Linked DNA regions of Lonchura striata. The protein of the gene in region 3 purifies or fractionates together with the protein of the main gene of each other region. This does not show direct contact. Links are inferred from orthologs where the notes say so. Each region holds a gene or a part of one and is shown on either strand. Other genes may lie near its edges.

What was found.
Region 1: the proteins of HDAC2 (region 3) and MACROH2A1 purify together in Homo sapiens (affinity purification with western blotting; 3 studies listed by BioGRID, with this or other methods). This does not show direct contact. The link is inferred for Lonchura striata from reciprocal best matches to the Homo sapiens genes HDAC2 and MACROH2A1.
Region 2: the proteins of HDAC2 (region 3) and ZMYM2 purify together in Homo sapiens (affinity purification with mass spectrometry; 7 studies listed by BioGRID and IntAct, with this or other methods). This does not show direct contact. The link is inferred for Lonchura striata from reciprocal best matches to the Homo sapiens genes HDAC2 and ZMYM2.
Region 4: the proteins of HDAC2 (region 3) and C13H16orf87 purify together in Homo sapiens (co-immunoprecipitation; 4 studies listed by BioGRID and IntAct, with this or other methods). This does not show direct contact. The link is inferred for Lonchura striata from reciprocal best matches to the Homo sapiens genes HDAC2 and C16orf87.

What each region holds. Positions count from the first base shown.
Region 1 is NC_134617.1:9,010,399-9,018,645, reverse strand, and holds the start of MACROH2A1 (core histone macro-H2A.1), read right to left. Parts: upstream 3,129-8,247; 5' UTR 3,030-3,128; intron 2,959-3,029; exon of another isoform or gene 2,833-2,958; intron 1-2,832. UniProt on the Homo sapiens protein: Variant histone H2A which replaces conventional H2A in a subset of nucleosomes where it represses transcription. Nucleosomes wrap and compact DNA into chromatin, limiting DNA accessibility to the cellular machineries which require DNA as a template.
Region 2 is NC_134604.1:72,084,977-72,092,143, forward strand, and holds the start of ZMYM2 (zinc finger MYM-type protein 2), read right to left. Parts: upstream 3,151-7,167; 5' UTR 3,011-3,150; intron 2,017-3,010; 5' UTR 1,959-2,016; intron 1-1,958. UniProt on the Homo sapiens protein: Involved in the negative regulation of transcription.
Region 3 is NC_134605.1:67,188,371-67,196,586, reverse strand, and holds the start of HDAC2 (histone deacetylase 2), read right to left. Parts: upstream 3,102-8,216; 5' UTR 2,969-3,101; coding exon 2,917-2,968; intron 1-2,916. UniProt on the Homo sapiens protein: Histone deacetylase that catalyzes the deacetylation of lysine residues on the N-terminal part of the core histones (H2A, H2B, H3 and H4).
Region 4 is NC_134615.1:9,961,978-9,969,806, forward strand, and holds the start of C13H16orf87 (UPF0547 protein C16orf87 homolog), read right to left. Parts: upstream 3,108-7,829; 5' UTR 3,030-3,107; coding exon 2,964-3,029; intron 1-2,963.

The DNA.
Region 1 (8,247 bases), on a different chromosome or scaffold from region 3:
TCAAGGAGGTCATGAATGATTCTTGCATCACTCCTGGAACAAGGACCATGAGCTGAATCCTGACCATCCTGTCTTTAGAATGGGCCTGGGTAAGGAACTACAGCTTCTTTATGTGCTCACAGCATCCTTCCCAAGCAAGCAAACAAGCCAGCCCTGCAGTCTTTCCATGAGTGCTTTATTTTTCTTTTCCAATTTTACCTCTTGAGATGACAAAACCTAATGCTTAGCACTACCCACAGGGCCAAAATTTCCTCTCCCAATGGAGAAACTGTCTGGAGGCTCTTTTCTCCACTTGTGGCATCAGTTACAGATCCCTGCTCTTTGATTCCAACATGGGGTAGGACTACCTTTTCTGTGGAACAGACAGCAAGCTTTGAAACTAGCTGACAGAGCTGCACAAAAATATTTCTGTACTTCTCTGAGAGCAAAGGTTCATGACTATACTTCCAGAGTGTGATTCTATCACCTACCTTATCAAGAAAATATCTTTTATCAATGATCATTGCTATGCACCGGCAGAACTAGGCAACTCCTAAGAACAAATTTAAACACACTGGTTTCTTTTAAGACTAAGCTTGCAGTGGTGGACTTCTCTTTTTGCTCATGCTGATCTACAAAATAAGCAGTGCATAAGCACTTTACTGACTTTAAGCCAAATTCTAGTCTTACCACTAGTTTTCATATCAGTTATGGCTTAATCTACACTGTCAACATTTGACTTTACTGGCAATCAGAAGCAGCACACACAGAAAAGCAAAGTTACTGTTCAAAAACCCAGAAGGTCTAGATTTCAGTGTGAAAGGTTATGAAACACAGTGCAACAAAATAACCTGTAACCATTACTAAGTAAACAATTTAATTCCTTTCTTTCACAACACTTAAAAAAAAAAAAAAGCTCCAAACTCCCAAATACACTGAGTAGTTTTCTAGGGACTGTTTGATGCAAAATCTTCCATACCCAACTGCATTAAAACATAATTTTCAAAGCAACTGTAATTGTCTTGCTCCAACATAAGTCTTTCAGCTCTGGGCTGTCCCTAAGAACCCAGGTACTGTTTTTATTAATGTCACTCTTGCTCCTTTGCTAATTTATTTCTTTTACTCTTCAGAATGGGGGAGGCAGTGGATCTGCCAAGTTCTCTACAGACCTGTTGCTAAGTGACAGCCACACACAGTCCTGGGGAAAAAATGGTTGTTCACTTGCACGGTCAAGAGATAAATAACAAGTCTCATCCAAGTATATTTCAACAACAAGTCTCCTTCCATCTCTACAAATGAAGCAACCTCAGCTTTACACCACCCTGCTAGCATAGGAGCTAGTTCCAACTAGCTGGCTTCAGGCAAAATTTCATGGGCCTTCTACAACTTTTAAATATTACAGAAGAAACAAAAGGATTACAGGGAGATGCAAGTCACTGAAACAGTCTGTTGCCCTCCCTGTCTCCTACACGCACCAACACGTCAGCCTGGAGTCCGAGTCCCAGCGCTGCTGAGCTGGAGCGGGTGCGGAGCCCCGGGAACCCGCACTCACCTGCACCCCGCAGCACTCGGAGGAGCCCCAGGAACCCGCGTTCACCTGCGTCCTGCAGCACTCAGGGGAGCCCCAGAAACCTGCGCCCCGCAGCACTCAGGGGAGCCCCAGGAACCTGCGTTCACCTGCGTCCTGCAGCACTCGGGGGAGCCCCAGGATCCTGCACTCACCTGCGCCCTGCAGCACGCAGGGGAGCCCCAGGAACCCGCGTTCACCTGCGCCCTGCAGCACTCGGGGGAGCCCCAGGAACCCGCGTTCACCTGCGCCCTGCAGCACTCGGGGGAGCCCCAGGAACCCGCGTTCACCTGCGCCCTGCAGCACTCGGGGGAGCCCCAGGATCCTGCACTCACCTGCGCCCTGCAGCACCCGCGGTGAGCCCCAGGAACCCGCATTCACCTGCGCCCTGCAGCACTGGGGGAGCCCCAGGAACCCGCACTCACCTGCGCCCTGCAGCACTCGGGGGAGCCCCAGGAACCCGCATTCACCTGCGCCCTGCAGCATGCAGGGGAGCCCCAGGAACCTGCGCCCTGCAGCACTCGGGGGAGCCCCAGGAACCCGCGTTCACCTGCCCGGCCGCACCCGCGGTGCCCCCGGAGGAACTCCCACCCCCAGCCCGTCCACACGGGCTGCTCAAATCCCGCAGGCAGACATATTGCAGCCTCCACAAGAAGTGACAGTCCTAAAAGAATAAGGAGCCCTGATTCCAGACAAACATTTATTTTTACTACTCTCAGAAGCCTCTGCTTACGGTTTAAAATACATCATTAGGCTTTTTAAAATTAAGTCATCCAAACGAGGCAGGTAACTTTTACACCGCGGGTTCCTCATCCCGAAGTGAAACACACGGAAAACGAGTCCTGCTGTTTTTTGCCTTGTGTTTTTCGCAGTCTCCCTCGATTATCCTCCCGTGCTCGGCGACCCGCGGTGCGAGCGACAAGGACGGAGCCCGTCCGTGCGTGGAGCAGCCGGGACGCGGGACCGCGGCTCCCAGCCCCGGCCGCTCTGCACCCCGCGGCTCCCCCAGCCCCACACCGTCATTCCACAGCGGATTCCAGGGAAACAGAGCCCCGCTGCCACCATTTCGCGGGGCGCGGGTGGATCTCCCGGCTTCACCCGAGGCGCAGCAAGAAGCAGCTGAGCCGACTCCCGGTTTTCCTCAGGGGAGGGGACCGGCTCCCGTCCGTCCCACGGCGCGCCCGGCCGGCTCGCTGCCCCCCCACCCCGCCGGTGCCACCGCGCCGCCACAGAGCGCCCCGCGCCCCCTCCTTGCCCACGGCGGGCGGGCCACGGCGGTGACTTACGGCGCGGGCAAGATGTCTCCGGTCGGCCGGCGGCGGCCCCGCTCCCGTCCCCGCTGCCGTCCCCGCTGCCGCCGCTCCGCTCCGCCCGCGGGGCCACCGGGATCGGCTGGACGGGCTGGCGGAGCTCCCACAATGCCCCGCGCGCCGCGCGTCACATCCACCGCCCGCCCCTGGCGGCGCGGCTCGCCGCTCCTCACCGTCCCTCACGGCCTCCCCGCGCTCCGCTCAAATCCTTCGCCATCCTCTCACGGATCCCCTCACGGCTGGGCCGCCGGTGCCGCCATCCCGGAGGTTGCCGGGGCTCTGCTGCCGGCCCTGCCGCCCGCCCGCCCGGCTGTTGAAAAGGCCGGTCCCTGCTGGGGCTGCGCTTCGGCACCGCGGCCTCCGCAGCTGCTGCCGGCCCAGCCTTTGTGTGCAGGCGCCTCCGCTCCCACGTTTTCAGGACGGGGAGGTCTGAACGAGGCGTTCGCGCTGTGGTCTCCGAAGATTGAAGTTCATGGAGGGAAGAGAACGAGCAGCTGGATTGTTCCGTGAGGGGCACGCACCTCCCTCGTGCTATACAAAAATGGCTCAGTGCCATTTTACCAAGGCCCCAGATGGAGCCTTTGGAGGCGTTTGTGCGTGGGCCACACGGATGTCCTTGAGCTCACCTTGCCGGATTGGGAGCGCTGGGTTGCTGCTTGCCCCCACACCCTGTGCCAGACCGAGGGTTCATTCCCTTTTCCACCTCTCTCCTGCCTCTCCCCATTGCCTTGCCCACCGGCTGCCAGTGGAAAAGAGGAGTTGCTACAGTGGATCTTGGCTGCGGGACAGACAAGTCACAACAGACTGCCTCTGTTTTTATAATGGTGGGACTAGAAGCAACTGGAGTTCTTAAAGTTCTGGAAGATTCCTAGCTTGCTAGTGTTCCCAGACTGTTGTGCTACTGCCATTTGAATGGAGCATCCTATTCCTTCAGTACCCAAAGCAGAATGCCAGCCCATAGCCTCCTCCCCAGTGTCCCTTGCTGTTCTTTCATGGGTAGAACTGTACCAGGTGACAAGTGGCATAATGCCATTACTACTAGATTACAAGGAGTTTCTCTCCTGCTCTTCTCATCAGCCACTCTGAGCTCCAGCTCTCCTTATTTTGCTGAATATCAGCATATCATCACAGGACCTTTGTCATACAAAATAGAACACAGAAAGGAAGAAGGGGGTTTAAAAGAAAAAGAAAGAACAGGGGAGCGGGAGCAGTCTATGTAAAATGTGTGTCTGGTCTGAGAAAATCCTTTCAAAAAATGTTTCAGGCATTATAATTGCGGTGCTCTCATCCATCTAAATGGCCAGACCTGGTCTGGTTTTTAACATAGCTAAACTCAGTGTCTCCGGAGACATCTCTCATTACTTCTCAGTGCACCACAGGGTCAAATGCAGCCCAGTCCTGACTGCACTCCCTGGGTGCTGATTGTACCTTGCATGTCTTGCAGTGGTGCAGCTTTGCCTAACAAAGGCTCTCTGCTGGGTAAGTACCCTGGTTGCCCTTAACCCAAGGATATGGATACAGTTCTTACTAGGCCATCTGCCACAGCTCTTACGAGCTGAGGACACACTGCTTTCCCTGTGTTCCTATCCACACACATCATCTCCTTCCCACCTCCCCCTTCTCCTCCTCTTCCTCCTCCTCGTTGTCCCGCTCTGTTTTTTCCTTGCTGGTAGTGCTGCCCACGCAGTAACATTTTCTGTATGCTGTGCAGAGTACCCAGCAGAGCTGGTGTTGCTCAAGTGCATGGCTCTTCACACTGTTTTCCTGTCACCCACACAAGCTTTATTTAAATAAAGAAAAATCCAACAAAAAAAACAAACCCAAACCACAAAGCCAACCTTCCCCTAGATATATCTGTTGATATGAGCTGCAAAGGCCTGTGTAAAATTGAAGAACACACAACATTGTCTGATGGGATTGATGGAAGGGGTAGGGACTTGTGGGCTGTAACTAGATCATCTTTAAGGTCCCTTACAACCCAAAGGTCGCTTTCTGTGCTCTTCTGCTATCATTGTTCATTTTGTCTGGCTTGAAAGGATGTCTATGGATTTTATGCTTTTGAAGAAAGCCTTCAAAACTTCCAATTTTATCTTTCAAAGCCTTCTCAATTGGTGAGAATTTCTGGAGTGAGAGCTGCCTGAGTTTGCAGAGGGCCTGAACAATTTGTCTGTGGAATAGGATGCTAGTATGAAAACTGCTGTTGATAATGTGTAATGTTAGCACTGACTGGCTCACCTCCCACCAAAACACAGATTTATTATATTGAACATCTGCTGGATCTACAAGGAGTGCCCATTTTGAAAGCACACAATGTATTGTGACTGTCTTGAAGTTTCTATGAAAGCCTGTGAAACTACACTACATGAACTACCTCACTAAAACAAATTTGGCTTAGATTTTGTTCTCTTTGCCAGTTGTGATATATTTATTTATCTATAAATTGATAAAAAGCGTATTTCCAGGGTTCTACTGCCTTTATTTCTAATATAAACAGTTCATATTCTTACATTTATTTGCTCTTATTTTGACACTGAATCTATAATCAAGGGACTATTTGCAGAAGAAAGTTCTAAATGATTGAGAATACAAATATTTAACTGTTTATGCAACAGAGGTGGTGGAGAAGCAAATATCACCTGGGAGGGGACAGAGAGCAGCCTGGGAAGGGCTGGGGGTAATCCTCTTAAACTTAGGTAAGCATTTTCAGTTTGGGATAGCTACTCTAATTCTAAATGTGTCACCTCTTTTGGCACTGGTATTTGTTTGTTGTTGTATGTTTATTGGCTAGTGAGAATACATGTGCTAGGTTACTGCAGGTTGCTGAAATACTCCTTCAGGATGTTGTATACCTAACCAGCAGATACCTGCTGTTTTCCTTCAAACTTCACATGGTGAAAAGGACAGATTCCTCAGACATGACCTGCTTCTCAGAAGGGGTTTTCTGAACCTCCTTCAGCTGCTCAGCCTCCTCTGTCTTTGCAGACTATGTGACTAATCCATGCTTCTTAACTTCAGCTTACAGTGACACAGATAAATATACCTGTACTGTGCATCATGCTAGTGGCATTCTTGCCTTCACCATCACAGGGGCACAGTGACTGTACCAAATCCACTCAGTGCTCATGCTCCTAAAGTGACCCACAGAATTACTGCCTGTCCCAGGGCAGTACTGGCTGTGACTTACAGAGCTCACCCTGGCCTTCCAGCAGGTTGCTGTAATCCACCGGTGTCGTTACCATCCCGAGAAATGACGCACCACAGGGCTTGAATGTGTGTGGGCCAGGCCTTTGCTTTCACTTCCCTCTATTTTCCAGACACTCTGAAGAAACTCAGCTTTCCTGTTACTCAAAATTAGCAATCAAAATCAGGAAGTTCTGCAACTAAGGTTGCCCACAAACGGTGCTGGAAGCACAGTATGTTTGATACCTGTTTGGTTCAGGGTCAGAGCCATTGATCATAATGATCCCTTTTTATCTCCTCTATCTAGACCACCAGAGAATTGCAGTTTGGTTTCAGCACAGTTCAAAACCTGACAGCTAACTGTTGGACTGAGCTGCTGTTTTACACTCAGCCTTTCTTCATCTGCCACAGGTGAGCAGGATTAATTCAATTTTCAAACAGTCAATCTTTGCTTTGACATCCAAGTCATGACAACTGGGATATCCTCCCTCTTCAGAACATTTCCTCCTGCTTCGACTTTGTCAAGGCACTGGCAACTCTATTAATTGCCAGGCATGTTGTTCTGTGGCAGAAGTGCTGACTGGTGTTGCTATGTTATGGTGAGATTAATACTTCCAGAGCACAAAAAGTGGATGTCTAAGATTTCTTTCCTAGGCTGGTAGACAGAGATAGGTTAGTACCAATAATTTACTTTGTTCCAAATCTTTTTAGGCAGGCGACGTCTTACTGTTTTCCCCAAGATGATATTTGTGCAACTTTTTCAAACATGGATGCCATTTGTCATTGCTTTCTTCTAGAAAAATGTCAGTTATGGAATTTTTTATCAATGTTTATACCCACTGTCAGAAAATGTTTAATTGCTTTCAAAGTACTTTAAATAAAATGTCACTTTTTAAAAAAAGAAGCCTAATGTCTTAAATTTTTAAGATGAAAATGAGAGCCACTATGATATCTGCACCTTCTAAAACCAGAGTAGGAAGTTATTAATACAGTCAAGGGATGCTGGGACAAAAAAAGACCAAAGTTTGTAAAATCATTATTAATCTGTAGATTAGGGATAATATTAACCTGCCATATAAATCACTTCAAAACCTGCTTCTTCTACATAGAATCAAAGTGCTTTTTGATTTATAAAACCAATAGCCCAACAGCAGTATGACGCAGGGGCAGCAGGAAACTTAAATGCCTCTTTCTGAGCAGTATGGAAGAAGTGTGCTTTGAAACAAGCCTGATGCACCCTGGAGTACCCAGGCACACTTGTCCATTGCTCCTGTGGTCACAGCTGCTGCCAACATAACCTGGCTCCCACATTGTCCTTTGAGCAGATCAATTAATTCCTTTCTGATTTTGAAAGCAGCCTCTTGCATTGCTGCATTTTTAATGTCAAGTGGCAGGAGAAAGTTCTGCATTATTGTGCAAAGATAATATTAAATCCAAGAGCTATGATTTATATTATTAAGTCAAAGAATTCAAAATTAGTTCACATAATGATCAGCTCAATGGCTCCTGGTAGCTGGTGTAAAGCTTGGCAGATAGTAATGTAGTAATAACTCACATTTCTTATATTTAGTTATTAGGTCCCATTGCTCCACTACATTAATTTTCCATGTAAGCAATAGCTGTACTTGCCAGAGGGATTTTATATAATTGCAGATGGTAGGAGACATAGTTGGTAATTGCAGAAATGCAGAGGGAGATGTCCAGGAGATGATCTTCTATTAAGATGTGGCCGTTGCTATGGAATAATTTCCTAGCTGCTGTTCTGCATGGGATTGCTATGATGCATCATTTCATATAAGAGGTTATTTTTAAAGCAGACCCATTTCTTTGCCTGCAAAAGCAATATCAGATCACCTCTCTGAGGAATATTAATTTAAAAAGCTCCTGTGCTGGACAGCAGACATATAGCATATGGTTCATGAAGAGTCCACCATAATACCAGGCAGCAATGAAATCAGGTGCTTTCATATCCTACTCCTTAAATTAGACAAAACTTCTCTTGCAAATGCAAACATCATTGGCTGTCATAGCAAACCATAGGTTACCAGGGATGATGTCCTCAGTTTAACCTGAGCTCCATAAATTCGTTATATCAGAGACAGTCCATTATTCCTTCTGTTTATTTTGAAGTATGTTCTCTGTGTGGAGGTACAGAATGAGGAAGTGATGGTGCCAGCTATTTGTGATGGACACAAAAGTATGTTCATGTCA
Region 2 (7,167 bases), on a different chromosome or scaffold from region 3:
TATAAAAGACAGAGAAACTTGCTTTCATTTTTTCATTGCCACTTTGACATCCTTGCTGAAGCAAATCCCTATTAGCATGTTATTACAGGATGAGCAACAGGAAAATGCAATAATATATTTGAGGTTGGAGAGGATTAATAACAACAATATAAAGCCAATTTAGTAGATAATAAAATTAATTTATTGCTCTAATTAAGACAGACTTCTATTAAAATAAGTTACTTAGCTTAACCACCAAATAACATGGCTGACGAGTTTGGTTCCTAGAGATGACCTTGCAGCACTAAGCACCAAATACCCCGAACAGCATGGTCCTATCACATGCCATAAGAAGGCTATACCACCATCATTGCAGCTGGAGGAGGACAATGTGCCACCTACCACCTCCAGTACACAACAGTCTCCCTTCTTCCAAAGCATCATTTGCCTTGATATTTCCTTAAAGTAACTTTATTTGACATGAAGGATAATCGGAAAAAAAAGAACAGCTATTAGACTGGAATGCATAAAAAATGAATCAGAAGTAAAATCAGATGGTAGCCTTGCATCCAAGATATGGTAAGAATTTAAAAATTACTGTTCAAAATTTTAAGCTGCTGTAGCAAGTCAAGGGTTGGAACAGACAACTTTATTAAAGATAACATGCCATGTAAACTCTTACAAGTCTTTGATGCAGTTCATAATTTTATACGTGCAGAACAAATAGAGATCTGATGTCCTCATCCTAAGCAGTGAGGCTTTGCAGCGAACGACTTATTCTTTGTATATGTAAGCCACCAAAAAGTGACAAAGAAAGTTGCAAGCTCTGCGAATCTGGAAAATGTAAAACAGAAAGGGACAGAAACGGGGCGGGGGGGAAATCCAAGATACGAGTGTTGGGGAAGACCGCAACACCTGAATCCGTGCTGTAACCAAGCGAGGGACCCATAGGGCGAGAGAGGCGCTGCCTTTTTGTTTTGTTCTCGGGCTGCGCGCTCCTGGCGGAGCCGCCGCGCTGCCGCCGGCGCCTCTGGCGGCGCAGCCCGCGCACCGCGCCCGGGCCCGCCGCGGCAGCTCCCGAGCCTCTCCCGAGCGCTCGCACCCTCACTCGCTCCTTCGCCGCGCTACTTGGCCATTTCGGAATCCCCCATGCAGATAAAAATACAGCCCCAATATTAACAAGGGTAGAAGCTAGATTCAAGTTATATCCCAGTCCTACCCACAGGTATTGGCAGGCAACAAGCCTCTCCTTAGCCAACCTAACACCCAACAGAGATCAAAATCTGCTCTCAAAATTCCACATAGACAAAACACCAAAAATGCTCGCTACCTGTGGGTTTCACCAGTGTCCTCCAGCTTCCCGGGGAAGGGACAAAGTGGATGGCTCAGAAGCCCAGCCAAGAAACCCAACAAGACCACCCATACAAATCTGCGGGTGTAGAGAACCAGTCTGTGAACCAGTCACAAAGAGACCATGGAGCGTGCTTCTCCATTACAAACTGCTGGGTGATTTTAAACCTCCCATGCCTCTTCTTAGCTTCGAGATGATACGCGGGACACGTGATTCGAGCAATGGAGGAGGGGAGAAAAATTCAAGATGGCTGAAGGTGTCTTGTCACGGGTGTTCACGCACGCTACACAACTCTAGAGGGCACCCGAAATATGCCCTCCTCCTCCTCCCTCCCGAGCCGGGTAACGTGAGCAGCGGCAGCAGCCCGTCGTCTGCCTGCCGGAGTTGGTATTGCAGGAGCGATGTCTGCAGCAGCAGCAGCGCCCACTCCGAGGAGGAGCCGCCTCACAGCCATTACTGGGGCTTCGCCCCAGGGCAGCGGCTACTGAACGCAGGAATTTCCCCACCCAGCCCTAGAGGGACCTCATTCCACCCCTTGCCCCAGGAGAATACGGGGCGGGGGGAATGGTTCAAGCCCGCTGTTAGGAGGTCTGGCAAAGGCAGAAACAGATACACAAATAGCACTCACAATGGAGCTCCCTCTCCTTGTTGGTCGCTGCCAAGGCTGCACCAAACTGGGCTGGAGCCTAAGGGAAAGACATGGGGTTAACACGGGGCAGCGAGGATCAGGCAGCGCCCCCAAGGAGCGTTTCCATCGCCTGGCCAGGGCAGGTACTGCCTGCATCACTCACCACTTCCCTTTAATCCCAATCTTTCAAATAAATAAACAAACAAACAAATCTACTGCCCTCGCCGGGGGCGGTGGGGTACACCTCACGGCACACCCACGCAGCTTGTCCCCGCTGAAGGAAGGAGGGACAAGGAGCTGTCCCCGGGCGCCGCCACACCGGGGGGCTTCTACCGCGAGTGTGGGGGACAGAGGCAGCGGCGGCACCCACGGCGGGGAGCAGCGAGTGTTACCTGCGAACTTGCCCTGTAAGCCCCGAACCGGCGCCCGGAGCGGCCGCGGGGCCCTCAGCGGCACGGCCCCGGCGCCGGGCGAGCGCCCGCGCCCCCCGCGGCAGTTGCCCCCGGTCTCGGGTTTGCCCCCCTGCAGTCGGCCAGCGGCACTACCGCCTCCTGTCCGCCATTAGAGGGACCCAGCCGAACAATACGGGAGGGGAGCCGCGGAGCGCCGGGCAGGGGAGGGGAGAGGATGGGAGGGAGGTACCCGCGGGGGGGCTGCGAGGGCGGTGGGTGGGGGAGGCACAGGGGCAGAACAACAGCCGAGGGCCCGGCGGGGAAGGGACGGAGAGAGTTAAAATAGGAGGCGCTAGAGCAGACCCGGCCCTTCCCCCAGATACCCCTGCCCCCCCCCTTCGGGGCTGCCCCCGGGCGCCCCCCATTTTTCCCCACCGCCCCCCGCCGCGGCGCGATGGTTATGCGCGGGATTGCCCCCGGTGCCGCCCGCATCCCCGCCGCCAGAGGTGGCGGCGCGGCAGCGACACCGCGGGGTACTTGGCCGGGTAGCTGTGAGGCACGGCGGTTGCCCTCCCATCCCCGCCCTGGGGGCAGCTAAGCGCTGCCAGCCCCCCGCCAGCCCGCCCCGGTGAGGCGCAGCGCCCCGTGTCCGCGCCTTACCCGGCTCCCCACCGCCTGCGGGCACGAACCCCCCCGCGGGGGACGCACGCACTCTGCGCTACTCCTCCGGCGCCTCAACTCTAACTCGGTCCAGTCCCGGGCGAAGCGCAGCCGCTGGCGAAGAGGAGGAGGAACCGGGCCAAGGGAGCTCGGGGAGATCCGCCTCCCTGCCCCGGCATTGGCTTTCCCAGAGGGCGGGCTCTGGCGCTGGGCTAGCCGAGTGGGTGCGCCGCCCATCCATCAGAGCCGCCCGCAGCCGGTTGACCCTATAAACTGCCAATCTTCCTCTTGGCCATGCTTGGGGTTCTTCCCACTTTGATCCATCAGGTTTGAGGAACCCGGATCGCTGCCCACTGACCGGCTTGTTACCCGTGCCCAAGGGTTGCGCTGGCGCTCCCCGCGCCGCTGTTTGACAGCGGCAACTCGCAGAAGTTCTCGGTGCCGCCGAGCCGGCTGCGCGCCGCCGGCCGCGGGCAGGGTGCGCTAGCCGTCCCGGCCGTGCGCTCGCTCCCTGCGGGCGCCACCGCTACGGCCGTGGGGCGCGGGCTCTCCTCTCCCACTCCGGACCCCGCGCTGAGCCATAGGGGCTGGCAGTGCTTTTCCAAAGGGCCCCACTCCGCTCCTTCCTTCCCCTCACCAGGGTTTTGAACCTGGGGTCATTCCCATGGTGGATAGAGCATGGGTAATGGAAGCGTTCCCAGAGGGAAAAGGGAGAGTTCGCGTCTCCTAGGGAGGGCGCCTGACCCGCGTCCCCGCAGCCTGCCCCGCCGAGCAGCGCCTCCTCAGCCGAGGACGCCTTGCTGCCCCCGCCTGCCGCGGGGGAGGGCGCCATATCAGCCGCCGACATGGCTCCTGGAGGAGATGGTGGTGGTGGTGGTGTTGGTGGTGGCAGTGGTGGTGGCGTCCTCCATTTTGTCGGAAGCCGCTGCGGGGAGCTTGGTACCAATTCGAACCAACGTGAGGCGCAGCGGGGCGTCCATTTGAACAGCCTCCTTACGGCTTCCCCGCGGGAAAAGGAGCCGGGTGCCCCCGGCAATGCCGCGGGGTGGGAGCGACTGCTCCGGCCAGGCGCCGGGAGCCAACTCTCCGCCCGCCCTTCGCCAAAATGGAGGATGCGCGCTTCCCTTGCGCGGCTCCTTCCCCGTCGCTGGCCATGGCACCAGCGCCCGCTCCTTCGAGGACCGTCTGGCGCGCTGGTCCCGCTCTGCTCCATCTACCCATCCTCCTCTGCCCAGAAGAGGGAGAGAGAGACAGCGCAATGCCCGCCCTGCCTTCTCTAGCCGGGATCAATCCGTGTCAACTATGCGCAGCAGCGTCCCCCGGGGAGAGAGCGGCTCTTGCGTGCGCAAGGCGCTGGGTTTCAGCGGCTGGCGCCATTTCCAGTCGGGAGCTGGAGCCTCCCGCGGGATCAGCCTGAGGGACAGCCTCCCTCACGAGCGGCGCAGGAGTCGTTGAAGGGATGTCTCCTCTCTCCACCACCTTTGATGTGTTTGGCTAATAATTTTCATGTGTGGGAGAGACGAGAAAATTTTCTATCGTCCATTGTCACAACAATACATCTAATTTCTTCCCAATGATGCCACCCAGAGACACTAGCTCCAATCAACAACTCAAGCCAAAAGCTTCTCCAGCACTGTTACTCTATGTTGTTGAGTGGAATTAATGTGGATTTGGTTTTGCTGGTTTTGGCGCTTTTTTTGCAAGACATACTGCTCATTAGATGAAGCTTGGAAGGGCTATTTGGTGTGGAGGGACAGAGTTCCCTCAGGGCTGGCAGCAGCTTGCCTGCAAAAAATTACGTGAGCTGATGGCAAAGCACTCTAATACAACCATTGCCAACGAGGAAAGTGTCATGTCTGCATGCATCATCACCCATTTTGAAGGTATCAAAGTTGCCCTATAAATTGATAAAACATTTGATCTGCAGTATCACACTACCAGACTAATTATGTAACCAGAAAGCTGTTGAAATTTCAACATTGAATCCCATTCACTCCATCAAGTCAGCTAGTTCCTGACCATCCTCATCATTAGCCTGGAATATCATCTAGGTTGGTAAAATTCAAAGCTGTTTTAAGTTGTCCTCCATATTACAAATTTGCCGACATTCCTAGTCATACATCTCAGGAAGATGCCTTTTGTTCTACAACAGTGCTTATCCATAAGCATTTATGTTCTCATGGAGTTCAGAAAGAAATTCAAGAGGACTGAAGCACTAGCAATGCATGGTAGAAAACAAGTGTTTTTCTAATTAGGAACACATTAAGAGAAACCTATTGCTCTTAGTAATCTGGGGTATGAAAAGTAACTGGAGAATACTTTGCATCTTACCGCTGCTATAGCAAGAGACATTACCTAACAGTGTTATCTAGGTCTGTTACGTAGCAATAGAACATTTTCATTAATGTTTTAGGTAACACAGCTCAAACAAAATTGAATGGTTTCACTTGCACTCTTGGAACTATATGAAATGTTTTTATATAATAAAGTTTATAACTCCACAGAACTGTTGTCCCCCTATAGACATGTAACCTTAGTTTTAAATTCATATGTTGAAATATAGCCAAAAGTAATTAAATACACCATAATTTTTCCTTTATTTTTTCAACTGACATCAGGAAAAGGGACAAAAAGTTCAGGCAACCATGTAAATTCCTCTTCCTCTGTAGAACCATGTATCATTCAGATTACTTTTAAGAATAATTCATATAGAGTAATTATTTTTATGGTTTGAAAGAGTTAGCATTAGCTCATATGCTAAGCAGTAAAATCTCTTCATGAGCACCAGAGAACTGAAGCATATGTATTTATATGGACACTTCTTTCATGGACAGGCCTGATGTCAGTAACCTTACTAGAAAATGTCAAATGTATTGACTGGGAGTAGATAAATTCAACAAAGCTGAGCCAAGAGTTTCTTTATCACCTTATAACAAGAGTGACATCCTTCTGGCTGTAATGGAGGACTATTTTCTCAAAAAACAGTCAACTGTATTTGAACTGAGAAGGAATAATCGGACATATTTTGGAAAGTTTATGTTTGAGCAGACATCTTAAAAGCACTTACCAAGGCAACCTTCAAGTGATGCATATTGTATTGTAATAACAGGATGAACATAGTTTAAAGCCACCTCCTGCTGTCAACGTTATTTATCTATGATATAGTGGCATTTGTTCCAGGCTTAGAACAACTTTTCTTTTTTCCCCTACCATTTCTCCCAATATTTCTCTTACTTTTCTGTCCTTAATCTTACTTCTTTATCTACTTATCCTCAGTCCCTCTTGGCCATCACAAAAAAGAAAGATGCGAATAAAGTGTACAGGTTGATGGAACATACGTTCTCATAGTCATGGCATAATGGAATTGTGGTCTACTAGTGTTTGGTCAATACTAAGAAGAGAAACTTCAAGAAATAGTAGTGGATGGAAAAGAAATTAAAAACACAAAATCAAAACAAAAGAAAGCAGAATCTTAAAACATCTATGATCAGTAACAGCTTCATCATTTTGGTTTTACTTCCTCTACCAGTGTTCTGATTTTGAGTTTCATCAGGCATAGCAGCTATTCTTTGTAGACTAAAGCTCTTAATAAAAAGATACTTAGGGAAAAACTCTTCACTATGAGGATTTTGAGGCTCTGGAGCAAGTTGCCCAGAGAGGCTGTGGATGCCCCATCTCCAGCCATGTTCAAGGCCAGGTACAATGGAGCTTTGAGCAACCTGGTCTAGTGGAAGGTGCCCCTGCCCATGCTACAGGGGTTGGAACCAGATGGTCTTCATGTCCCCTCCCAACCCAAATCAATCTATGATTCCATTATACCACATATGTGTGATTTTACTTTACGTAACAGAACCCATAGAATTTTTTTAGATTACAAAAAAATGCTTTGTACAGAACATTACCTGTGGTTTTCATTATGGTTGTTGGACTACATATACATTTTGTAATATTTATAAATAAATCACTACCTGTCTATAAGCAGATTGTGTAATTTTCAGTTTAATTAACCAAAAGTGATCTTTCCAATGGTTAAATAAGTAGACAATATATCCTATCCTATAAGATTATTATTAATTGCATAATATAATATGTCTTCAAATTACCTTTATGCTGCATCCCATATTTAAGCTTTGGAACAGTAAATAACAATTTATGAT
Region 3 (8,216 bases):
GTAGAGCCTTTTGAACACCCACACTAAATTATGCACAAGAACCAATCTAAACAATACTGCTAGTGCACCGGCATGGAATAAATACATGAACTCACAGTAACCACACCAGTTGCTGCACGATTCTCTAGAGCTGTGCCAGTCTGTGCAGGAGCACAGAGCTGGAAAGACCATCTGGGGTCTGTTCTCACTGCTGTGGGCAACTGTACAACACCTTGGAAGAGCTACCTGAGCCACAATGCTGCAAAACCATGACAATAACCTGAAGACACATGGCAAGAGAGTAAACTAAAAACTATGATAGCCTTCCACATCTAGCATGGTTCTAAGCAGTGTGAGGAGCACACTTTGTTAAGCTGTATCAAGACTAGAAGAATTTCTGAAAAATATTTTAAGCAAGATCATGGAAGTATTTAAATTCATATTTTAATTCGTTTTTCCCATAGTATACTGGCTTAAATTTAAGCAAAGTTCCTGACCTGAGCATGATCACAAGCAGTGAAGATTCTGCAAAATTGGATGTGGTTAACTTTCTATTGCGAGCAAACTCAAGATAATGAAATCAAGCTTTGTCTACTCAAAGTTTATTAGTTCCACATACAGTATGAAGACTGTTAAAACTATTGATTTAGGAAAAAAAGCCTTAACAACAATACACTCTAAAGAAGTGACAAGCTAATTAAAAAATCAGCATTAAATGACAATCATACCAAGTTTCACAAAAAGCAGGGGGAAGTTTATTGCATCTCAGAAGATAAGCGTATATGCTTCTGGAACTTTTCAAGACCTTTTAGTGTGTAACTTTTAAGAAACAGAGTAAAAGTACGTGTGGAGAGCCAATTATGACCCAAAAAAAGAGGTAATTTACTTCAGACATGACATTCCTTTAGAGATATACCACTACCTCAGTATTTTTTTTTGTTTTGGGTTATTTAAGGCTTCAAACACTCTGTTCACTGTGATTCAATGGCTTTGCTGATACAACAGTTAGTATTATTCAGAATTGCCAGATGAACCACACAGTAGCATCAGGATATCTATTTTCGGTATTAACTCTAAAATTTTTTCTAATAACTCTATTTCCAAAAGGCATGCAAAATAATTGTTGGATTTGGCAACACAAAAAAATGAGACATCAAAAATATTCCAAAACTGTTTCTGGCACATATAAAATATTTATTTTAAGGTACAACAGGTAATATCTTCTCTACATTATTAACTACATTTATCCTAGTCTACAGATAAGCTGCAACTGCTTTAAGTCACCATTTTCCTGCCACCTCCAAACTTGCTCCTCTTCCAGTTTCTCCTGACTCTTCACAAGTATAGCTTTAATCATTAGATTAGGGAATCTAATGCTAGCATCGAGTACCAAATCCAGTGATCACAGAAAAACACTGTATCAACATCTGGTGAACTACAGCTACCTGACTTTATCAAATAAAAAAAAAAAAAAAAAAAAAAAGGAAATTGATTTTAAAAAAGGCAAACATTTTCAGAGAGAAAGCTTATAAACTATCACTGCTGTCTTTATTTCAACAAGGCGAAAAGTGATTCCTCTTCCCTAGGAAAAGTAAGATCCTAGCCTCAACAAAAGTATCCCTAACAGGGGCCTCCTTTCCCCTTTAGGCTGAACAAAGAACCACTGCTAGCAACAAAGAGAAGGGGGCGGCAACCACCACTCTGCCTTCTTTAGTGTGGTTAAAAAAAAAGCCAAGACAGGCCCCACAAGATCTGCCATTTCCAAAGAACAGCAGGTTTGCTACAGCAACACAACCTTTGATATCTTGAGTGGGTTTAGCCACTCATCTTCACTTCCAAAATGGTGAAAACACCAAAGGTCTCCGGCTGAACATCCTCAACCTCTGTTTGCTGACTATTTCCAAGACCAGTCTCAGATGCAGCCATACAAGATTGTTACAATAGGAGGCAATTTAATCAAATCTCTAAACTAATCTGCCCATCTAGCTCACCTCCCAGTACAAAAAGGGCTAAATAAATTCAAGCTTAAGAAAACTAGAAGTTCTTGGTGCTGCGGCCAGAGAAAACCGCAAACAAGTTGCTGAAAATATCTCAAACCAAGCACTTTTTTTGCCACGACTGACAACGCCGATCGCAAGCCCCCTGTGTCCCCACTACACCAGTGTGGCAAACTCAGAGGGCCTACATGCAAGTCAAATTCCACTATTATTAACCACCCACGCACACAACTTTCCGCGTTTTGCGGGAAGGGAGGCTCGTGGGAGCCAGACCTCTGCTCTGATCCGTGTTCGGCTTGGGAATGGGGGAGGAGGAGGCAGAGAGCCCCTGTCCCTCCGTACCCCAGACCTCGGCATGAAAGCGCTAGGCAGGGAAAGGCCTCGGCTCAACAATCACCAGGTGCCAGAGCTACACATGGCCTGGACTTTCTTTGCAGGGGAGGAGCCAGACACAGCAGCAGCTTCAACGCCTCCCTGCTCAGCGGATGGAGGGGAGTGTCTCAACTTTTCTTCTTCTTTTTTTTTTTTTTTCCTCTTTTTTTTAGGGGGCGGGCGGGGGGGGGCACGACGCGCGGGCGGGTGGTGAGTATTTTGGGGCGAAACAATGGCCACAGCACCTACCACCGGGGCTGGGGGATAAGGGAGCTCCCCGACCCTCACCTCGCCCGACTCCACCACGCCGGCCCCGCCGCCCCGCGGGGCTCAGCAGAGCCGCCGGCGGGAGCGGGGCGCGGCGGCGCAGGTGAAGCCAGCGAGGACCCCCGCCCGCCATGGGGCCGAGCCGAGCCGGGCCGGGCCGGGCGTGGGGAGGGGAGGGCCTCGTCCCGCGGGACGGGGGCGGCCGTGCCGGCGGGACCAGGAACACAGCCCGCCCCGGGCGGCCATTAGAGGGGCGCCCCCCCCGCTCTTGCACGCGCGCTCCCGCGCCGGCCCCGCTCACCGTCGTAATAATAGCAGACTTTCTTCTTGCCGCCGCCCTGACTGTACGCCATAGGGCTGCCGCGTCGGGGCCGTGGGCAGGGAGCGGGAAGCCGAGGAGAGCGCGGAGCCGGCTCGGAGGGTGGGAAGGAGGGGGCGGGAGAGCGGGAACTCGCGACGCCGGGACCGCCAGCAGCGGGAGCGGGCCGGACTCTCGGCAGCGGGAGGGGCAGCTAGCGGGACGCGCCCAATTTGCCGCCGACAGAGGGAGGAAAGGGAAAGAAGGAAGAGGAGAAGGCGCACGCGAGCGGACGTGGATTCCCGCCGCCCCCTCCGTGAAAGTTTTCCTTAGTTATACACAAAAGCCAGGGAAGAAGCCAGTGGGAATTCTTCATAAACAAATTCTTGGAGAAAACTATTTTCTGTCCCACCCCCACGGCGCGCAGTGGTACGATCCGCCGCGGGTGTCGGGGCGGTACCCCGCCCCTCAGCGGAGCTGTGTGGCGCATGCGCGGGGTGTCCCATGGCGGCTGCGGCAGGAGCGGGCACGGGGACCGCCGCGCTTGGGGCGCAGCGGGCCCGGCCCTGCCCAGCGCCAGGGCCGCGGCCGAGCCCCTCAGCCGCCCCGGCACCGCCCGGGGCCGCGGCCGAGCCCCTCAGCCGCCCCCGCACCGCCCGGGGCCGCGGCCGAGCCCTTCAGCCGCCCCCGCACCGCCCGGGGCCGCGGCCGAGCCCCTCAGCCGGCCCCGCGCCGCCCGGGGCCGCGGCCGAGCCCCTCAGCCGCCCCCGCACCGCCCGGGGCCGCGGGGCCTCGTCCCCAACCGCGCAGCGCTTTCCGCCGCGCTAGGGCCCGAACTTCATCCTCATCAGGGCGTCTGCAGATGCTCGGCCGGCTGGGTTGTCGCGTCTGGTCCCCTCCCCAACTGAAAGTCTACTCTTTTCCACAACAAAACTCGTTTCTGTTTTGTTTCGGCTTTTTTGAGTGCTCCTGTCTGTCAGTACTCTGTCTTAGTGGCAGGCGTTGCATCTCAGTATTCCTGTTCTAGAGGAAGTTCAAAGCATGCTTCATATAGCAATTCTCCCAAAAAATCAGCGCATGCCACACAAGAAGCATTTAACATCTGAATAATTTTTTTCTGGAGATCTATCAGCCGTTTTCTCTCCTTGCCTCGGCTCAGGTACAAACTCAGGAAGGAGAAGCATGACGGCATTCATGCTTAGCCAGCTTGCTTGTATTTCTATTTATACAGGGATTCACACTTGTGATGCCTGATAAACTGAGTCTGGGGGTACACATCAGTTACACTAAAGTTTACTGTTTCTTCAGCTGACCCCAAAGGCCTATATTTACAGACTTTACACTCATCCAAGTCTTGACCAAAGTTTGTTGATTTGCTGGAGTCTCTAAAAGTAACTAAAACCCCTGGTTATTGCCACATGTGCTTCACTATTTGAAAACAAGGCAACAAGTATAACCTATGTCACACAAAACCAATACATGCCTGAACACAGGTTTGGTCTTTGTTCCCAGGATTAGGTTGCTTTTTCCCCTAGAAGTACCTCACAGGGGTCTGGGTCCTTGTAATTGATTTAAAAAAATAATTTTATATTATTAGAGACAGACAACTGTAAAATAAGTTTGTTAAGCACATGCATGCACAAACACCTTAGGATAATCCTGGATTCCACCCCCCATCCTTCACCTTTTAACTAAAGGATATTATGTTACGATGTCATCAGATGGTATAGCATTTTTAAAGAGCTTTTTTCATATTCCATTTGGAAATTTTTCTCTTAGACATAGCATACAAAATTTATTCCTACATCTTATAATACAGCTGATGTTTGTTTCTTGGTGTGAAGTGCAGCAAAATACCTGTATAACACTATCAGAGGCACGATATCCATTTACTGATAAATTCCTTTTTATCTCAGCGTTCTTAGTGCTGTCACTACTTGAACAGACTTAGATTGGACTCCAGAAGCTCCATGATTTTGTATTGGCTAACCACCGCATTATATGCTTCTTTGACCACTAAAATTCAATGTGTTTATGAAATTACTCAACATTTTGTAGTTGTCTGATAAATTTTTCTATCAAAATAGTAAAACAACATATCAACTACCTCAATATCAGGAATACTTTTATTGCACCACATAGGGAATTCAATAAAAGCAGTGATGTATTGTTAAAGTTCTTATTAGGGACTTCATGTGAAGAAAAAAAGCTCATAATTTTAATTAGTCTCAAATGGATACTCAACCTCATATAGGAATAACTTATTTTGGTTTAAATGGCCTAAATCAAAAGAGGCTATGTTGCTTTCAGGGCAAAAATAATTATTCATAGTCTTCTAACATCTGAATTTAGGCAAGTGCAGCTCTTATTTAGAGAAACTCCTTGAATACCAACTCATACCTGCATTAAGAAAGTGTCAATAAGCATATAAAGTTATCCTTTTGTCAAAGGGGTAAGAATTCATTCACTGAATTCACAGTAGCTCAGTATGACAGTAAGGACACTATTACATTTAAAGGTCAGTAAAGCTTAAATATCAAGTTTCACGGGTTGTGTATACGAGGGTGATTTCCTAGACCAGTCCCGCTTCTAGCAATGCAGGTTTTGCAGATGTCTTCAAAGCTGCTTGTTAAGTGAACAGCATGCTACACAAAAGCTAATGATCGAGAGGAAACTTCGGAGCGTCACTTGTGGGGTAAACAGACACCCACACCGGCCAGCTGAGGCCCAGGCCCCTTGGAAAACTGAATAGACCAGATAACAAAGTATCACTGGGAAAGGCTGCTGTTACTTTTACTATGTTGCAACATGCAGACACTTTATAATGTAATGATTATTTTTTTTCTACCTTCCTGTAATGGCTTGTTTCTGTTACTGGGTGAATGCTAACGTTATTTCACTCTTTCCCTGCATCATTATATTAACATTAGCTTGTTATTTCACACTGAATTTATGTTATACCTTAGATAGTAAGGTTTTTTTTGGGAAGGGACATAAAAAGCAGCAATAAGGATCTTTTAAACAGAAGAGTAACTTTCATCTTCAACATATACATCCAACATTGCAATAGAAAGTATTATTATTTCTTACACATTTATCCTAAATCACATCTACTGTAAAAACTCACAAAATGATGAGGCAAATAATGGACAAGAAGGTCTCTATAAGTAACAGTTTATCCCTTTACTGTTCTTATCAAAAAGCAATCTATAATTCTCAAATCCCTTCACTCTCCCTACCTCCACTCAACTAAAGGTATTTTTAAAACAGAGCTTAAATGGAGGATCTGGAGCACCTATTTTTTCTCTTAACTGCTGCTATAGAAAAGCAGTATTACTTTGCACACCATGAAATGATGAACAATTCACCTTCTTTCTCTCTCCTTGCATAATCTAAAAGCAGAACGATACAGCTAGAAAGCTTGCCATCACCTAAGCTTATTTCTTATCCAAACTATTAAAGCCCATGCACACACGTCGATATAGCCACCTTAATTCTCTTTAACAGAGCTCAATAACTAATGAAATTGACAGGAAAAAAAAATGCACTAAAACTGAAAATGAAATCTATAGCAAATAAAAAAGAAACCCCAAACAGCCAACCAAACTAAAAATCAACCAACAAACCATTAAGAAACAACAAAACTTCTCTTTAAAAAGCAAAGAAAATTATTCACCTAAGAATTGATGAATCTCTGTATTAGCAAAGGCCAGAAAGGGTCTTTAAGATCACCTCATTCCAGACCATAAAATCAAAAATAAAAGAAAAAAAAACCCCAACAATCCAAACTAGTTTAGAGAAACATACAAAATATATTCATAAATTCAACTCCTCATATAAGAGTTACAGCTTATACCATTAAGCACAACTCAGCACACCCCACCCACCTCCCTTACCCCTAGCCATATTCCTTTCTCCTACCACCCTCTTTTTATCTGTGAAAGCAGCATTTTCAAGTGATACCTATTAGCACCATTCACAGCTGCAAGCTTGTAATCAACAGACATATATGTGTGGAGAAAAATCACAGACAATGCTCTTGACTTGTTCTGTTCATGCTGTTGATAGGCCTTAGATAAGCTCTGGAAAGCATAAGAGTAAATAAAGTTTTGGAGTCACTTTCCTGAGAAGAAAACATAGTTTTCATCATGCAAATACCTTGCTAATGAAATCACTTTATGTAGAATGTCAAAATCATTAAAGAAAACATAGATAAAGAGAACTAAACAAAAAAAAAGGTTCATATTTGCTCAGATTCAGATAGCTTATTTGCCCAGTAAGCACTGACAATATTGCTATCTACCAACTGCTTTTGAATTTCAAGGCTGCTCAATATCCTTCCTTAATTGCTGCTGGAAATTGCTAAGAGTAATAGTGATTTTGTTTTAGTGCTATGCAATAGTTTGGGAACTGGGGGAGCTTGCCCTGCTCCTGAATGCTCATGCTGATAGTAAGGGCAATGACTTAGTTTTAAACAGTAGTAGGCCAGTATATTTTCTTACATGCCTATCATTTTTCTGTGCAGTGTCTTCATGTCTATGTCATGTGTGTAAATATAATTAATCTGTTTCGTATTGTGCCTAGGACAGATGTACCCATTCTCTGATTGTCTCTGCAATTGCCTGAAACTGGTTCCGTCTGCAGTTGTGTGCCTGGCAGTTTGATAGCCAGGAAAACTCTGTCTTCAGTGCACAGCACATAAACTTGCAGATACAGGTTTTACTGAAAGTGGCATAATTCAATAGTTCTAATGCTTGTCTTTAAATAAGTGGCTAGAAGCATCAATATTCAAATATTTTCTTTTAGAATCTTACCTTTTAAAGAGTTGTTAGGAGTAGGAAGGTGGATTAGAAGAAAACTGCAATGGTAGGTATAGTATAATGAGAGCATAGTAATTAACTTTTCCTATTTGTACTGAAGGTTTTAAGAGACCTAAGGAAAATGGTACACATTCACCTTTAGAAGAACTTAGATGTCTCACACTATTTTTTTAGTTTAAATGCCATTTGTTGGTGACTGGCTAGAATGCCTGGTATATAGACTTTTCCAGTGGTCATTGTTTGCAGAAACAGATCAATTTAATTTATTCATGCTTTCAGTGAGAAAACTCAATGATGTCCTCTATATCGGGTAATGTCTGAAGAAAGACTTATTTTTTTTAGAAAATCTGACAGATATTTATGACATTCAAATGACAACAAAAAGATTATAAAAATAACCATCCATCATAATATATTTCCCAGAGACACAGACCTCCATATCAAGCACAGTCCTTGTAACTTACTCATGTCTGCTTTACTTTG
Region 4 (7,829 bases), on a different chromosome or scaffold from region 3:
CTGCTCCAGCGCTGCAGACAAGGCAACAAGGCCGGGTGGGTACAGAAGGACCTCTTTAATTGAAAATGCAAATAACCCAGCCCAGGCAGGCAAGAACTGACTGCAGGCCCAGGAGTTTGAGAGAATACAGTGCCTCTGATCAGCTAAGCAGACAGCAGCAGTATGCTTCCCCCAGAAAATGACAATGTAAAACAAGAAATGCCATATTTAATATGAAAAATAACAAAAATCCACTCAGTGCAATTAAAAAAAAAACCTGATAAATTACAAAATTCGTTACCTTAGTGCCAAGATCTTTTAAGATCTTTTAGAGTACTAAGCAATACACCATGTTGCTTTGATTAGGTTTAAGACTGAAAACACAAATCAAAGCAAGTTTAGGCAGAGATCTGGAAGAGATTAAGTAACACACATTACAGTGGAGTCATGCTGAAGCATGATAGTGAGGGGAAAAAAGAGGCAATTTCTCAAATGTAATTCTTTAAGACAGGTCACTACAAGTTTGCCAATACCCACTGGAACAAACAGGAGCACAGAACCACAACTGCCCCCTCAATTTAACCAGACATGAGGAAGAACCAAGTTCCAAAGTTCCACTGACTCAAAAACCCCTGCCAAATTAGTATGTGAATTTGTACAGGGGAACTTAACTGCTACTCAAAATAAACAAGTTATTTTGCTTTCTGTAGCACATCTGAACTCCTGCATTTCATCCTACAAAAAGCTTGCAGATAGACTTTTTGACATGGGTTTTGCAGAACTAGAAATTTTAACTCCCTTTATGGAGACACTGATGTGATAAAAACGAGTCCAATAGAGCTTTCTTGAACTTTAAAGGCCAGAATTTAGCAGACTTGTGTGCACATTTGTCTCCTGGTTCATATGCCAGTGTAGAAGTACTAAAGCCCCCCTATCTCACTGATAATTTGTGTGTGTTCTTAAAGTGATACAGAATTCCAGTTAAATCCATTTCTGAACACTTGGGTCTCACCAATAATTACCTTTCCAGGCTTGGCCTAAAAAAAAAAAAAAAACAACAAAACAAAAAACCACAAAACTTTGGCAAAGCCACCCAAGGGGATTGGAACAGGGTCAGTATTTTAGTATTTTTCAACGAACTCAAGTCTATTTAACAGAACAATACTGTTCTCGTGTTACAGGTTTATCACGTAGGGGTGTGCAGCACTTGAGGGTGAAGGGGCCTGGAGGAAGGGGCTTATCACTGAAACCTATCAGTTATCCTTTGAAGATCCACACTGATAACATCCTGCATCATAATTAAGGCAAAAGAGTCCTAAACACTATTTCACATTGTTCATCATTTTCCTAATAAAAAGGGAATTTTTCTCATAGAAGACATTTTACCTGATGCTAAATTAAAAAGTGATTATTGTTTCCTCAGATTGCCTACAAGTACTTCAGGCTCCCTAGTTTAATGGAACTGTGCTTTGATTGTGAAAATACTGAAATTTATTATCTAAATTACAACAGAAAAATGTTTTGAAGTCTAAGAAGTGTAACTCAATATTTTGCTCCAATAATTGTGGCTGTCTAAATATTTCCATTAATGTCACTTCTACTGAAAAAATCAGAAAAAAATGCTAAGCCCTTGCTCATGGAAGCATTTAAGAAACACCAGCATTGGACACAGTCAGAGAAGGATTATATGAGTTTCCTCAAAATCTGCAAAGGGTTGACTTGTACTGTTGGCCTTAGTTCCTTGCTCCCTCTCAAATATTTGGCAGTGGAAAACAAGGTCCTATGAGCAATGTGTGCCAGGGCAGGACATATAAGCACATAAAATCCATGGAAGCCATGGAAGAGCTCCTAACAGAAAATCTACATTGACAAAAATTAAAATACATGATATGCATGTAAGTGCAGAACAAAGTGACAGTTTTCACGTCAGCTTAAAAAATCCTACAGTGCTTCCTTACTTATTGTTGGTAGTTTGACATTCACTACATTTATAAAAAAAAAAGAAAACAAAAGAAAAACACCACCACTCTCGTGTATGATTTCTCCCTCGTTTTCGTTTCTCCTTTCACCAACTGAATAACCAGAACTTGGCACACGATTTCTTTCTCAGAAATAGCATTTCAGTGACGTGCTTAACGTGCATTTGCAGCGGTTGCTCTGTTGGTTAAAACATGAAAGGACGCCCACACACAGCTCAGCGCTCCCAACCGTGCCAGGATGAGCAGCAATACTGCAAAAACTATGCAAGTCAGAACAAAAAATGCCATTTTTTTTCTAAAGCTCTGCAAGCAGAGAAAAATGATATGAGGCTGTTTATGTTTTTCCAGGTGTGGCTAAAGCAGTGAAGAGGGGTGACTTTCGGGGTCACAGCACCGGGGTCCCTGTGACAGGCGCTGCCCCCCGGCCGAGCCCGCGGCACCGCCGGGCCATTGTTCGGGCTCGGCTGCACGAACCGGCTGCTTCCAGCACTCACATCACTCCCAGCAAACCAGACAAGCTCCTGACACGGCAAGGCAGCGGTGCACAGCTCTGTATGTGCGAGCAGCTCCATTTTGTGCACGCCAGGAACCCGCAACACCAGCATCTCGGGCGGCACTCGGGGACCGGGCAGCAATTGCACCAAAGGTCTCCATTTCGCTGCTCCCCGACCACCCCCGGAGAAAACAACACCTCTGAGCCCTCTCCCGCCGAGACCCGGGCTCACCAGTCATCCAAAGGACAAACTGCATTATATACATCACCCGGTTCATTGTGTTTTTAACACATCACAGAGTTACTGAACAACACCAGCACATAAACAAGAGGTTCTGCAGTCGCGCAGACACCCCTCAGCACAATACAACCACTCCACTACCCTGCCGGAGGGACGCGGCGTTCAACCCGCATTCCATGCAGAAGCTGCAAAGGCAACAACCATTTGGTTCACACGAACACCGACTCGAGCCCGCCCCTGCACAGCCCAGCGTCCGCCGGCAGCCGCTCACCTGCTGGTCGCACTCGGGGCAGGACTTGGTGGCCATCTTCACTTTCTTGGCCCTACTGGAGGACATGCTCGCTGCTGCCGTGGCTGGGATGACACGGCCGCGGCGGAGCGCCCGCCCCGGGAGGAGCCGGCGGGAGGAGCGGGGGGAAGGAGGCGGAGTGAGGAGCTGGCGAGAGGAGCGGGAGGGGGCGGCCAGAGGAGGAGGGGCGGGGGAAGGAGGTGCGGTTGGAGTGAGGGGCGGGAGTGAGGAGCCGGCGAGAGGAGCGGGAGGAGCCCCGCGCGCCCCCGCCAGAAAACAAGCCCCGCCCACCTCCGCGCGCGCGCGCCGCCGGCCCCGCCCACGCCGCCGGATTGGCTGCGCGTGGGCGGCGCTCGGAGCCCCCCGGCGGCCGCGCTGGGAACGGCCCCGGGGCTGGAATTGTGAGGGGAGCGGGAACGGCGGGGGGAGCGGGAATGAGGGAGCTGACAGAAACGTCCCTGCCGTCAGGAAGCACCAAACACCACTTCTCCGGTGTCCGCCTCAGTTCAGAAAAAGACAAGCCCGCAGCAGAGGCGGGTGTTTATCGCCTGCTGCACTGCTGGTCCAAGAGCCGGGTGTCTGGCCGTGCCTTTTGGAGGGTTCCGTCACAAACGGGATGTTTTCGAGTACAATGCCCTCAGACAACAGTGTGCTACTGCCAGGCCACTATCAGGACCAGGACCACAGCCATTGGAACAGCTATTCAGTTAATTTCTGACACATAAATTGCGTTTATGTCCTAGCGAGTATCCTCCAGATTGTCATACCAGCCCTCTCCAACCTATGAATACAGCATGATGAATAAGGACTCAAACAGTGTTCGCAATGTCCTCTCCTGTGCCAGGACAAGCTGTTGATTGTTTTTCTTCCCCTTCCACCAGTCTCTGCCCTGAGCCCGGTTCCCGCAGAGGGCACGGGCACGTCCTGCTGTCCTTGTGGGCACTGGGGCTCCCAGGTGAATGTTGTTTTCTGGCTGTGTGCTCGGGTACCAGACTGCCTTGTCTGCCCTTTTCCTTTCCTCCTCAGTATTGCAGTTATGACTCAGAGGGTGGATTTGTTTCCCTGTTCTCCAGCCTATACCAGTCCATTGGCGCAGGTGTTTCTCCAGAGATACAACAAAGACAGGTTTATTTTTCATATAAACTGTGACTGATGCCAAAATGCAAATATGTTCTATGTAGGCACAACATCCGGATTTAATTCCTGAATTCAGAACAAATCCAAACAACCAGGACCTTGAGCTTACATTTGGATTTTTAATTTTTTTTCCTTAATTGATAAGGTCCAGACATAGCCAAACACAGAAAGGTATTTGAGGAGGATTCATAACAGCAGGGGGCTCTGCTGAGTATAGTAACAGTATATTGTAAATAAATTAATGACTAGAGCTCACAGATATCTATGACAATACCCTGCTTTTCTTCATAGAGCAAATAGTCAGCTGTTCAACTACTCCATAAAAACAAAAATGTTTTCCTTACTGAATGCAAACAAGACAGTTCCTAGCTAGAAAACTGATTTACCATACAGTATTTTTCATGTTATTCTAATTTTTAACATATAACTTTTGTGTTCTGAAAGTCCAAAACTATTTCTTTTACATAATTTCAGAGGCTTAATCCAGCACTGAGATAAAAACAAGAAATATAGTTTTAAGGGTACAGCTACTTTCTCTCTTAACAGAGTCGAGGCACTTTGCAAGACCAAGCCTCACTTAAGATGTGTTTTACACCAATTTAAAATTGAAAATAAGAAAATTATGCAATGTTTCTATCTTATGAAAAGCTACACATGAGTTTTTAAGTACCTGATAGCTCCTTTTCTTTGCTGTTGTCACCAAAGGCTCCAGCTGAATTGAATGGCCTGAGATGTTTCCACTGCCTGGAACATCAGCTGCCTGCACATGGCAGTATTTTGGTGTGCAACTATAATTTTACAAGGAAACAAAAATTCTAAAGTAGGAGCAAGTCACACACCCAATCCACCTTAGAGTGGGAGAGAGAAGCACTCCTGAGTTGTATTTCTGCTCAGCACTCCAGGCAATTTGGAAGTATCCTACTCTCCTGTAGTGTCCCCTAGGAGAGTTGACAGCCTTGGGCTCTTGTCAGCCCCAATGTGCTGACAAAACACAGCAAACTGAGAAATTAAATTCCTAAAGTGCTGTGCAACCTTGTGTGAAAAAGGTTATAAAACACATCCTGGTTAAGTAACAACTTCCTAATTAGTCAGCTATGGTCAGCAGGGGTTTTGTTCTTTCCACAGCCAAAGTACTATCTAGAGAATTCTTAAATTATATCTAAAATACAAGATTAGGATGCATGAGAGCAAAATTACAACTAATAGGAAGAGTTAAATTATAATATTTGCAATGTTACCATGAAAGAATTGAAGTTGTAATGGGACAGTATTCAACTGGCAAGAAGAAAGTACTGTATAAAAAAATTCACTGGTTATACAGACAAGCTTCAATCCTATTTTCTTATTCTGATTTTGGTAATTTTGATAATAACAATAGTTTATAGTATTTAATAATGTTACTGTATCACCAGTAGATTTCAGGATAGCTATAATCTGAGTCCCCTCTGAGTCTTTTCATAGGCAGAGTCGTGCCTAACAAGTCCTTTGAGATCCCATTACTCTGAATCTGGGCAAGACCAACATTTAAGTGGCACAAATGTTGGCTTTGTTCTCCAAGTACAGCTAAATATTGAGTATTTCCCAATTACAAAGCATTTTTCAATTCACAATGTTGTTAAGCATTGATGCCTCTCGGTGTTAGGAAGCCCAGGCTTAGGCTGGCTCCTGCCTCAGGCTCAGCTGAGCACATTAATGCTTGCCTGAGAAAAAAAAGGCCACAGCCTCAGATTTTAAAAAGAAGCTTTTCTTAAAATAGCAATACTTTAAACTATCTAATAGCAGTAGCACCTACTGTTCCCTTAGAAAAGGCTTCTAACATTTTATTCTCACATATTAGGCCTTTTTTGTGGGAAACTTTATAAAAATCCACATGGTGTTCAGTTGGGTTTCTACCAATGAATATAGTTTCACCAAAAGCTTACATTATTTTCATGGAGCATCTTTTCAGTTAGTTCTTGTGAAGAGAATTCAATAGATTAATTTACACATTCCATGTGACTTTGGTTTTTGGGTAGGAGGTTGGGCTTTTTTTTCTTCCTCTTTATCATGAGATAGAGAGTTGTTAAACATTAAGGTATGAAGTCACTTAACTTTTGCAGTGGACTGCACTGAACTTTACACCAAATCTTAAAGTTTTTGTTTAGTTTGGAGAATAGTAGAAACAGTCACTTGTCTGAAGATGCTCCTTATATTCTGAACTGCTATCATGAACAGTAGTCCACAGTAAAAAAAAAAAAAAACAAAACAAAAAAAACACCCTCCTTACTTGTACAACACAGAATACAGAAAACCTTTCTCTTTTTGTCTGAATAAACGTAATTTTCCTAATGTGGTTTCCATTTAGTTAGTGTGCTCAAAGATTCTCAAATATCATTAAAAACACTTTGGCATTTTAAGCTATTGAGAGCAGTTTTCTATGCAGAGTCTTTCTTTCAATGAAACAGCAGCAGCAGAATGAATACTCAGTTACCACATGTCATTATTGTAATCATGGGGTTTAAACTATGCAACTATTCATGGCAAAGCAGCTTGTTGAAGGTCTGTCAGAATGGAAACATGTGACAGCAGCTGTTATTCTGTTTATAGCCCTTATTTCTCCACGTCTCCATCTCCCTTTCCATGTATTTATGCATTTGCTGCTGTTCTGTATCTCTAGTTTGGAACCAGCAACATGAAATTCATTATTTTAGCTTCTCATAACTGCAAGAAAAGCAACTTGTTTCTTTATGACTAGAGGTGGAACACAACATGGACATCAAAGAACCTTGGTAAGCAGCACTGTCCACTTCAATATCTGGTTTGTCTGAAACATGTGTTCATATGATTTGCATATTCATTTAGGAACAATTTTGCCTCAACATTGCAAGTTCATCCTACACTATTTATTTTCAGGAAAGCATCTGTATTAAAGTAACCTTTGGAGATACATTTGCCACGTGTAAAGAGAGAGATACTTTTGTCTAAAACCACTTTATGCTGCATTTACAATGGAAAGGCTTTGTTTCATCCCATTTATTTCCTGTGTGCATTTCTAAGAAATTACCCAGACTATTGAATTCCAGTTTTGCATATATTTATTCCAATGTTCTACTAAAAACATTTTGGCTGGTGCCAAGTGCATTTGCAGGTGTTGAGCCTCAATCCAAGGCTGCCCTGTGTTACACACTAACCAGCAGCCTTACCGAATTTGCAAGCAAGGTCTCAGGGCTGCTTGGATTGTCACCAGTGCAGGGACAGAGATGTCAGGGGATCTGTGCCTTTACTTGTGAGGGATCAATGGGAGCCTCGGGGGCAGTGCTGCTGGACACTTTCTGCTGGCCAGCTCTTTCTGGGGGGCGGACTGGGGGTGGAACAGCAGCATGTGGACCATGAGCAAAGGTTAAATTGTGCTCTTCCCACAGCAAAATTAGTATTTCCCAATTACAATCCAAACTCTGATTTTTAATAGTCTGCATAGCATTTCAACCTTGAGTTCTAAGGAACCATGAAATACACTTGAATTAAGATACCTGGGAAGTCTACTTGTATCAACTGAATGCAATTATTAGAATTTAAAATAATTGGAACATTTCAGGTCATCTGATAAAAGCTTACTATAAAATCCAATATGGTTTTGTGATAAATCCAACCTTGACATGTCTTACCACAGCTTGAAAAATTTTCTTCTGAACTACTTTTTATCAAACCTAAAAAAAGGGACCATGACACTGT